Linked DNA regions of Cricetulus griseus. The protein of the gene in region 2 binds, or shares a complex with, the protein of the main gene of each other region. Links are inferred from orthologs where the notes say so. Each region holds a gene or a part of one and is shown on either strand. Other genes may lie near its edges.

Evidence for each region. Proteins that work in one complex are often made in the same cells at the same time.
Region 1: Bud13 (region 2) and Rbmx2 share a complex: the UniProt entries of both Homo sapiens proteins name them as parts of the activated spliceosome. The link is inferred for Cricetulus griseus from reciprocal best matches to the Homo sapiens genes BUD13 and RBMX2.
Region 3: Bud13 (region 2) and Ppil2 share a complex: the UniProt entries of both Homo sapiens proteins name them as parts of the minor spliceosome. The link is inferred for Cricetulus griseus from reciprocal best matches to the Homo sapiens genes BUD13 and PPIL2.

The regions. Positions count from the first base shown.
Region 1 is NC_048604.1:20,785,384-20,788,910, forward strand, and holds the end of Rbmx2 (RNA-binding motif protein, X-linked 2), read right to left. Parts: intron 1,961-3,527; coding exon 1,777-1,960; intron 1,266-1,776; coding exon 670-1,265; 3' UTR 607-669; downstream 1-606. UniProt on the Homo sapiens protein: Involved in pre-mRNA splicing as component of the activated spliceosome. As a component of the minor spliceosome, involved in the splicing of U12-type introns in pre-mRNAs.
Region 2 is NC_048597.1:158,028,831-158,032,534, reverse strand, and holds part of Bud13 (BUD13 homolog), read right to left. Parts: intron 3,234-3,704; coding exon 2,364-3,233; intron 939-2,363; coding exon 721-938; intron 1-720. UniProt on the Homo sapiens protein: Involved in pre-mRNA splicing as component of the activated spliceosome. As a component of the minor spliceosome, involved in the splicing of U12-type introns in pre-mRNAs.
Region 3 is NC_048597.1:72,241,739-72,245,442, reverse strand, and holds part of Ppil2 (RING-type E3 ubiquitin-protein ligase PPIL2), read right to left. Parts: intron 3,612-3,704; coding exon 3,494-3,611; intron 189-3,493; coding exon 132-188; intron 1-131. UniProt on the Homo sapiens protein: Has a ubiquitin-protein ligase activity acting as an E3 ubiquitin protein ligase or as an ubiquitin-ubiquitin ligase promoting elongation of ubiquitin chains on substrates.

The DNA.
Region 1 (3,527 bases), on a different chromosome or scaffold from region 2:
AAAGGTATGAACGATTAAGAACTACATGAAAATGGTTTTATTCCAACAATGAATGGACAAAATGCCACTGAATTGCTTAAAACAGTTAATTTTATTTTATATGAATTTTATCTCAATACAAATAAATAACTTATAAAGAAAAAATACATAGATATATGTAACCATCAAGAACCAAGAACAAAATAAAAGGAACCGGGATATAGCTGAGAAATCGAGCACTTCCCTATCATATCCATATTACACTCTCCAAATCTCATATGCTGCAGCTTTCTATAGTTGTACCTGCCATCTGGTAAGGACCTACAGAGCTGGACTCTAAATGTCTAACATGAAGACTAGAACTCCACCACTGCCTTGTGTTTGCCTTTCCCAGCAATCTCAAATCAAAGGTCTATAGGTTTAAGGGCCAAATCTATGAACCAAACTTTAGGCATATACTCTGGTCAGTACCAACTATTTTCCCAGGGACAGTGCATCATGTTTGTTTTGTTTTTTTAAATCTAACACACTGGCTATAGAAACGATAGCCTTCTGAACAACTCTGTCATGTAAGGGATTGAAAGAATTCAGCCCCAAAACTTTATATATAGAAATAACAACAACAAAGAGAATTTGATTATTTAATGCAAAAAGAATCAATTTTGAAGAACTGGTCAGCTGGCACAGACTTCAATAATGTCGACGGTAACTGGCATGGTAGGACTCCCGCTCCCGGGACTGCCTGTGCTTTTTATGCCTATAGGACTTATCCAGACTCCGACTCCTACGACTCCGACTCCTACGACTCCGACTTCTACGACTCCTACGACTCCTACTCCGACTTCTATGGCTCCTACTCCGACTTCTATGGCTCCTACTTCGACTTCTATGGCTCCGCCCTTCAGAATGCCCGCCATGCCTGCTGGTATGAGTACCTGAGCTCCTCCCTCTATCCTTACCTCTGCTCTTTTCTTCTCCCTCCCTCCTGCTCGAGGACTTATGCTCATGCTTGGGTTTCTCTTTCTTTGGCTCCCACTTGGGGGCCTCTGCTCTACCATGGAAGGAACTCCTGATATCAGGAAAGCCTGTGTGGTTCTTCCTCCCCTCTCTGGATTCCGACTTCTGGGCTTTCTCTGAGGTCTTGCTGCTGTGCTTCTTTGGGCCCTCTTCATCCTTCTCCTTTACTGCCCTGCTTCCAGAGGGCAAAGAACAGGATGGCGGCTCTGCTTGTACCTTGTGCTCCATCTTCTCTTTTTCTTTCTTTTTTTTCTTTTTCTCTTTTTTGTCTGGGAGGTAATCAATAGGGAAAAGAAAACACAAAGAAATCTCTTTAAAATGTGCCTTTCTTCTCTCAGTAAATCACATAAAACTGAGACGTTTCAAAATGTTCCCATGCAAGCAGATGGAGAATGTGTTTGTGAAAAACATCCCAGGTAGCAACAAGAAGCAGTCACAGTTTATGCCACCCAGAAAATGACTTCAAGAATCGAATTGCACACCTGTCACTCCTTATAGGTCAAGCTGTACAAAACATCCCCACACAGAAGTACTGTATCTCCAAATACAATCTCATTTTGAGATACAGAAGGGTTGGGATGACAACATATAAATTTAGGGAGATACAATTCTGCCTACACCACTAGCCTTCCTTCCTCAGTCACTTCTGCTTTCCCAAATAACGATTCTCACACCTTCCATTTTCTACTTGAGAGTGAATTCTTGACTATCTATCTACGCATGCTTGGAAAAGAAGACACTAAGAAACCCAGAATTTTCTACTGAGTTTTAAGACTCCACCTTTTTTGTGCTTTATGGTGGGCTTGACATCTTCATCTTCAGACACCTCAGTAGAACTTGATGGAGGTGTTTTAGCACCACAGCCCTTCTCCTGGAGCTCTCTGGTCACTTCATCCATGTCTTCTGATTCCTGAGGAGCCCGGTAGTTTGACACATGGTCCACACGGATAGTTCTTCCTTTGATCTAAGCAAGACCATAAATGTGTCAGCAAAGACAGCCCCCACATCCAACTATCTGAACCAAACTACAGAGAACCAAGGTTTGAATCACATCCATTACCTTGTATAAGGAAACCATTAAAGAAAACATGCTCAAATAAGAGATACCATAAGAGAGGGAGCCATTATAGGTTTAAAGAGAAGTCAGGAACTGGGAAATGTCCAGAGATTTACAAGGATGACACCAACTAACAATCTAAGCAACAGTGGAAAGGCTACCTTAAATGCCCTCCCCTGATAATGAGACTGACGACTAACTTATATGCCATCCTAGAGCCTTCACCTAGCAACTGATGGAAGTAGAAGCAGATACCCACAGCTAAACACTGAACTGAACTGGAAACCAGTTGCAGAGGAGGAGGGATGAGCAAAGGGATCAAGTCCAGGCTGGTGAAACCCACAGAAACAGCTGACCTGAACAACGGGGAGCTCTTGGTTCCCAGACTGATAGGTGGGAAACCAGCATGGAACTGATCCAGACCCCATGAACGTGGGTTTCAGTGAGGAGGCCTCAGAAATATATGGGGCCTCTTGTAGTAGATCAGTACTTATCCCTAGCATAGAAATGAACTTTGGGAGCCCATTCCACATAGAGGGATACTCCTTGAGCCTAGACACATGGGAGAGGGCCTAGGCCCTATCCTAAAGGATATGCAGACTCCAAAGACCGCCCTATGGAAGGCCTCACCCTCCCTGGGGAGGAGAAAGGGTATGGGATAAGTAGGGTGTTAGTGGGGGGCAGGGGAGGAGGGGAGGCAGAGGGAACTGGTATTGACAAGCAAAACAATCTTGCTCCTAATTTAATTTTAAAAATGGAAAAAAAAAGAAAAGAAAACATGCTCAACTGGTATGTTATAGAATATATAGCTAATACTAATAATACACAGCACTCAGGGCAGCTAAATGGGGTCTAGGGCAGGTAAAACCTCTGGGGCAATTATGCCCAGAGCCCCCTTGACATACTACAGGTACTATGCAAATTTCTTCATGTTCTGCATGTGTCATGAAGTTAAAAAAAAAAAACACTCAGAAGTATTGCCCTAAAGCACATCAAGAAAGTATATAAGATTTTAGGATTTAAAGGACAATTGATTATCTATAGGGATAGAGAACTGGTACAATTGGTAAAGCACCAGCCTTGTAAGAATAAGGACCTTAGGTTAATCCCAAGAACCCACATAATCTGGGTGACAGCACACACTTGTAATTCCAGCACTGGGAAGCAGAGATAGAAGACAGCTGGAGCTCACAGACCAAGCAACCTAGCCTACTCACAAGTTCCAGACAAGTGAGAGATTTTGTCTGAAAAAAAAAAGAAATAAAGGAAAAAATAGACAGATCTTGAGGAATGATGCCAAAGCTGTCCTCTGGCCTCCAACTATACATGAACACATATGAATATGTGTACATACATGCAAAGTTATACACAATGTTTAACAAGAAAACATGTCCTAGAAAAGCATGAGGGCCAGAAACATGAAATCTAAAGCTGCTGTTTCAACAAAGGCAAAATAAGACCAAGGAAACAAAAT
Region 2 (3,704 bases):
ATGACAGCCAGCCACAAAGAAACCCTGTCTCACAAAATAAATAAATACATAAAAGATAGGGTCCCATACAGTACAGGCTGGCCTTGAACTCACTTATGCACATTTCACAAAGAAGGAAGCTGAGGATTAAAGAAATCAAGTTTCTTGCCCAGTCTCACAGATAGTAAGCAGCAGAGTAGGATTTAAAACTATAATTGGTTTTAAATCATAGTTGGGGTTCTGTGCTCCCAACTGCACTCAGCCTCAGCTTATTATTAGGACCTGCTGTCCTATCAGGTGGGAAGACGCAGGCAGGTCAGAAGTTCAAGGCCAGCCACTCACAACAAAAAATTAAAAACAGGGAGGCTTTCTGGAGATACTGAGACTTGTGGCATTACAAGGCTATAAAAGGCAGGAGCATCCTGGGAAATCTGGCACAAGCTGGGCACTCCTGATCCAAAACTAGAAATCCATAACAGTCCATAATCCAAGACATTCTGAGCATCATTTTGTGCAGTATCTGTAAAGTCTTAGAACCTTCAAGCATCTGGACAAGGCATCCTCAAGCCTCTGCTCAGATGAGCCAGAGACATGCTGCCTTCAGAGAGAAAGTTCCAGAAGTGCTTTTAACTCAGATTTACTGCACCGCATCCTGACTCTCTGGTGGCAATCTTTTTAGTGTCTGTAAAGCTAGAAGGGAGGAGTCACTCTGATAAAGACACAAGTCCTGGAAATCCCTACCTTCTTCCCGGGACGGGGACTCCTTCGAGGAGGAGAGAGATCAGAATCAGAAGATTTGGTCCTTTGTCTTCTCCGGGGCGGAGAGAGGTCAGAGTCAGCGCTCCGGTGTCTCTGTCTATTCCGTGGTGGTGACAGATCTGAATCAGAGTCCTGGTGTCCTGAATTTTGTTTTTGCCGTGGAGGAGAGAGATCTGAATCAGAGGATTTTTGGCAGACACCTAGGTAGAAAGGAGCCATCAAAGTGTGACTTGCTGTTTCCCAGGGAAAGTGTTTATATGAAATCTCCTGTGGTTAAGAGAACCTAGGGATTAAAGAATGCATTAAGGATGTGAGCTGTGATGGTTCAGGAGTAAAGTGAACCTAGTATGTCAGGCCCGGGTTCTGGTTCCCAGCACAGGGGAGAGGGAGGGAGAATAAATTAACCCCATCAGAAGAATGTTTATAAGAACTTACCAAACTGGGGTACAGTGTCTACTTAGTCATCCTATGAAAAAAACATAACTAACCAAAACACAAGCATAGGTGACATGGAGAAGAACAAAGTCAGTGGCTCTGTTTCTGGGCCACCAGTGTCTGGTGACTTTGAAAAGCATGTGAGATTTCAGACACTCATCTATACTGCCAACCTGTCCAGAACCAGCAGAAGAGCTTGGAGTCAGTCCTCTGCGGTATGGCAGAGACAAGAAAGCCTGGATGTTCTCAGACTCAAGAAAAACAAAGTAATTTAATTTTAAAATTAAAACAGCAGCTAGGGCAAATGAAGGAGTAAGAAACTTTCTGCATAGGCCTGTTCTAGATAACTGTGTCACTGTTCACTTACTGAAAAGCAGCCCTGTAGTAGTTACCAAGGTTACAGCAATGGCCAAACATTCTGACCTAGCAAACAACTGCTCAGCTTTCTAGGAACCTATCAACTAAATCCCCAAAAGATCTAAGATAAGAAACAACCCATAGTTGTTCCAACAGGATGGTTGTCAAATATCCTAAGAGCAAAGCTAGAAGTAATCCAAAGCATGCAATCTCAGGGAAATGGCTAAGTCAATTCATGTAACATAAAGAGGTTTTTAAAAAAAAAAAAAATCATAATAACATAAAGACACCTATAACCCAGGAAAAACTATTGAGTGGAAGGGGCAAGCAAGATTACACATGCAACATGCATGTTTTGCACAGCCAGGCTCAACTACACCTAGCATGTATGCCAGAAAGTACCTAAAGCCACTGGCTACAACTTGAACAATGATGGTGTCTAAATGACACAATTTTGTGAGACTTTTCCTGTGTCTATATGTTTCTGTACATTCTGAAGCTTTTGCAACGCACACAGGATTTCTCATTTTTATTTATTATTACTCTGTGTGTATGTGAGTGCAGGCGCCCACGTATGGAGATCAGAGTCAGTTTTGTCCTTTCAGTGCACTGGTACAGAAAATGCTTTTACCCACTGAGCCACCTCGCCTGCCCCATCAGTGCCTTTTTATGGGGTATGGGGTAGGAAGGGTAAGCAAAAGCACATAAAAACTTGCCTCCCTGCCCCTGTAATTTTTCAACTCTAAGCCTAGCCTCTCATGTTTTAAAATGTTTCCAAAGAAACTCATTCTCATACTCAGGGATGAAGCTCTTACACACAGCTATACGCTCACCTTTAGGATCCAGCTGCTTCTTAGCTCCAACATGAGCTTTTGCTTGCCATTTCCGTGGAGAAAGGTCAGAGTCACGCCCGTACTTGCTGTTCTTGGAGACTGACGGGTGAGAGGGTTCTTGGCCCCTCTGGTGTACAGTCTTATTACAGGATCTTTCTGCAGCTTTACTGCTTTTGGTTCTGGGCAGTTCCAAATCAGGGGAGTCATGACGGGGCCTCCTGAGATGCTGTGGGTCTGAAGGATCAACAGTCCTCCTATGTTGGGGTGTGTCAGGAGAGTGGTTATGGGCCCTTCTTGGGGAAGAGATATCTGAGGAACCATGATGACCTCTCCTAGGAGATACACTTGAAGAATTACGATGAGACTTCCTGGGAGGAGAAGTAGCTGAGTCATGGTGGACCCTTCTGGGAGGAGATGTGTCTGAGTCATGACGGGATCTCCTTGGGGGAGATGGATCTGGGGTATCATGACGGGCCCTCCTGGGAGGAGATGGATCTGGTGTATCATTACGGGCCCTCCTGGGAGGAGATGGATCTGGTGTATCATGACGGGCCTTCCTGGGAGATGGATCTGGGGTATCATTACGGGCCCTCCTGGGAGATGGATCTGGTGTATCATTACGGGCCCTCCTGGGAGATGGATCTGGTGTATCATGATGGGCCCTCCTGGGAGGAGATGGATCTGGGGTATCATGATGGGCTCTCCTAGGAGATGGATCCGGGGTGTCATGACAGGTCCTCCTGGGAGATGGATCTGGGGTGTCATGATGGGCCCTCCTAGGAGAAGATGGATCTGGAGTGTCACGATGAACTCTCCTAGGAGGAGATGGATCTTGGTCATCATGATGGAAATGTCCATCTTCACTGTGGTCTAAACACAAAAACAAACAGTCAGATCCCCACCAGTGCTTTGTCCACATCTCACTCAGTTTAAAAACATGTCTCTAAAACACACATCTCTCAACTACTCGAAAAGCCCATAAGGTCTACCCAGCTCTTGTGTTTAGGGGCAGCAAACCAGCACTCTCAGACAACCTAAAGAGTAACTCCTCTCATTTGCCTCCCAAGACCTACAGTAATCAAGGCAGGTGATTTCGTCTAATAGACATGAAAAAAAGGTTCTGGGAATTCCCTATGGTCACCATTACTAAGAGGAGACATACCCCAACCCCAGTCACTTCATTCCCAATCCAGTTCCTTTTCCAGTGATTCCTGTTGCTATGCAGCCTAGATCATTTACAGGTGTGCTCACTCCTTTTCCAAAAGGCACAGTGACTAAACCTGCACACATCAAAATGAAACGTACTAAGCATTTAATCCATGTCATTACGCTTCCCCTTTA
Region 3 (3,704 bases), about 86 Mb from region 2:
TCTCCTTGGCTCCACAGGCCTGAAGAGCCAACCTTCCTCCACAGAAATACCCACAGTCCTCACCGGGGACTGCATGAGGATAATCCCCAGGTCCACACTGCACTGCGAACATGCACAGCATCTGCTCTTACCGTCCGAAGATAGTGTGCTTCTTATCCAGGTAAGCACAGGAGCGAAATGTGATGAAGCTGGGGAAAGCACATGGAGGTCAGGGAAGCAGCAGGCTGGGCCACCCAGCATACTCTAGTTGTAACAACGACTGCTCCTCAGTGGAAGCCACCTGCCCTTTCCCAAGTAAATCCAGACCTCTGGAGAAATCCCAGAGCTCGGCTGCCAACATCCCATGAGAGCCAAGCAGGAGACAGTGGAGGCTTGAGCTCGCTATCCAACTATCTTCAGGAGGCAATGGTTAGGGGTGAAGTAAACAGGCCATGTATGTGCAGCCTGGAGGGAGCCCTAGACTATAGCCTATAAGTGGGTGACAGCAGAACGCTGGAAGACATCAGACAAAAGGAGGAAAGTACAGCTGGGTGTGGTGTGGGGACTCACAGTGAGCCCTCATCCCTGAATAAAATAAATACTATGGAAAGCAGGAAGTTTATGGGATGGGTTGCAGTGCAGTCCCTACACAAAGTGGTACATGAACTCAGCCCTATTGTGACAACAGGACACAAGCCTCATCCTGACAGCCCACAGAGACCCTTCAGTGAGTAATGAAGATGCATCACCCTGCAAGCAAGGGCACTCCTAAGGTCACCAGGCAAGTCATGGAGCCCACACCTATGCACAGTCTAAGCCTTCACACTAGCTGAACTCCTGTTATTGCCATTGGAACAAGGGCTCATTGGCTATGCTATGGAACCAAGGATGACTGAATTGATCAGACCTAGCTCTCTTGAATTTCTAACATAATAAAGGAAGCTAGAAAAAGAATGAAATGAACCTGGAAAAAAAAAAAAAGAGGCAAGTAAAAAAACAACAAAAATGCAACTGGAATATTTAGGTTTTGTTCAAGTTTTTGAAGAGACTGTAAGGAAATGCTGACAAAGGAAAGCTGTCACATGTCCTGGAGAAAGGGCTCAGCAAACAAAAGTGAGCGCAGCTCTTTCAGGGTACAAACTCAGCCCGTGCCAAAAGAAAATGACTCTACGTGCACACCTCTCCTAGCCATACAAAGCAGCAACAGCTCAGTCACATGACTAGAGACAGATTTAAAAACTAGACCTCTGACAACAGAGCCACCTATCCTGACAAATGTTAGACTACAAAATCACATTTCATTTGGAGCAGGACACACATGTGCCTACCTCCAACACCCAGTGACAATGTGACTGATGTGCACATGGGAAGTTGAAGATGTCTCCTCTTCTGATAAGTTCAAAAATCTACAAAGAAACTCTTCATATAAACTTAGGAGAAATGACTCTGCAATTAAAAGCACTGGCTGCTCTTCCAGGACAAGAGTTCTATTCCCAGTACTTACACTCACAATCACCTATAACTTCAGTTCCAGGGACCAGGCCCTCTTCTGTCCTCCTCTGGCATCAGGCACAAACTTACATGCAGTATACAGACATACACGTAGGCAAAACACCCATACACATTAAAAAAATTTGGTTTTGTTTTTCAAGATAGAGTTTCTCTGTGTAGCTTTGGAGCCTTTCCTTGAACTCACTCTGTAGACCAGGCTGGCCTTGAACTCACAGAGATCCGCCTGTCTCTGCCTCCCAGATGCTAGGATAAAAGGCATGTGCCACCACCGCCTGGCTAAAAAATTTTCTTAATTTTTTTTTTTTTTTAAGATTTGATTGTAGGGGCTGGAGAGCTGGCTCAGCAGTTAAAGAGCACTAACTACTCTTCTGGAGGACCCAGATTCAATGCCAGCACCCACATGGCAACTCACAACTGTCTGTAACTCAAGATCCAACACCGATACCCTCGTACAGACATACAAGCAGGCAAGACACCAATGCATATTAAAAAAATTAAAAAAGAGGATTTGACTAGCTGTGTGATGGCCCACACCTGCAATGTCAGTACTCCAAGGCAGAGTTCTAGTACAACCAACCAGGGCTACATAATGAAACTTTGTATCAATATAAGTTGGCATGGTGGCCCACACCTTTCATCCCAGCACTCAGGAGGCAGAGGCAGGAGACTCTGAGAGTTTGAGGCCAGTCTGGTCTACAGAGGAGTTACAGGACAGCCACGGCTACACAGAAAAACCCTGCCTTGAAAAAAAAAAAAAAAAATCAACAAATACTAAAATTCCTTTGTATAACATTATCCAGGAAGTCAGAAGATCCACATAAAGAAAATGACAAAACTGAGCTGACAAGCTGGCTTGGCATGTGAAGACACCTGCTGTGTTAGGCCTGGCAGCCTGGATGTGATGACTGGATGCCATGGTGGAAGGACAGTCCTGACCCTACAAAGCTGTCATCTGACCTCCACACGCACACTGTGGCATGAATACCCTCACATAAAATAAGCTGTAATCAGCTGTGATGGGGCATGGTTTTGTCTTTTTTTAAATGATAGCCACCTTTAAAGATACCTTTCATAAACAAGATAGTTAAAGAAGAAATGGACAGAACATTTTTTAAAGATTTTTTTTTATTATTATTTTATGTGCATTGTCTGTGTGAGGGTGTCAGATTCCCTGGAACTGGAGTTATAGAAAGTAGTGAGCTGCCATGTGGGTGCTGGGAATTGAATCCACATCCTCTGGAAGAACAGCCAGTGCTCTTAACCACTGAGCTATCTTTCCAGTCCTGATGGTGAAAGTTTTTAAACACAGCACCCAGTATACAGAGACAGGCAGAAACCAGCCTGGTGTACACAGTGAGTTCCACAAGAACCAGGACTACATAATGAGAACCGGTTTCAAAATATTTTTTAAAAAAGAAAATAACAAAACTATACTCCATAGATAAAAGATATACCCTGGATGGAGACAGTTCTCAATGGTAGAACATGTATTTAGCATGCACAAAGCCTTGGGTTCACACCCCAGCACAAAAAAGAAAAAAAAAAAGACATATCCAGGAGAATTAAGCCACATTATTTGATTAAGATTTGATGAAGAATAGAATACAATACAAACCTATTCCAAAACACAAGACCAGACATCCAAGAGCCTTACCACCCACCACCACACACACTGGGCTCTGATAAGCCAGAGCCTTAGTACCTCTTCCTGGCCTTTTGTCCTCAGAATACCTCCTCCCAAAGCACTGGACCAGCAACCTTGCATGGCACCTGGTACCCACACACTCCTGGTTTTCCTGTTGGACCCCAAGAGGCCTTTGGGAACCCACTCATGACCACTATTCTACCAGCTGACTTGGGCTCCTTTCCTGGAGACGCCTGTGCTCCACCTGACTGAACACCCCCTTGCTTGGATTTGACTTGGGCCCAGCACAACCTTTAGGGACAACGCCAGGCGCTTTGCAAACCATCCTAGCAGCTGAGCAAGAAAAGCTGGACTCACAACTGAGACTTGTTGGTGTTGGGCCCCGAGTTGGCCATGCTGAGCACTCCACGGCCTGTATGTGAGAGGTTGGGGCGGAACTCATCTTTGAAAGGCTTGCCCCAGTAGGACTCTCCACCTGGAACAGAAGAGCAGAGTCAGTGGTCAGCCACAGAGCCTTGTCCAGAAGCAGAAGACAGCGACCAGGCCCTGAGACACAATTCTTGATGAC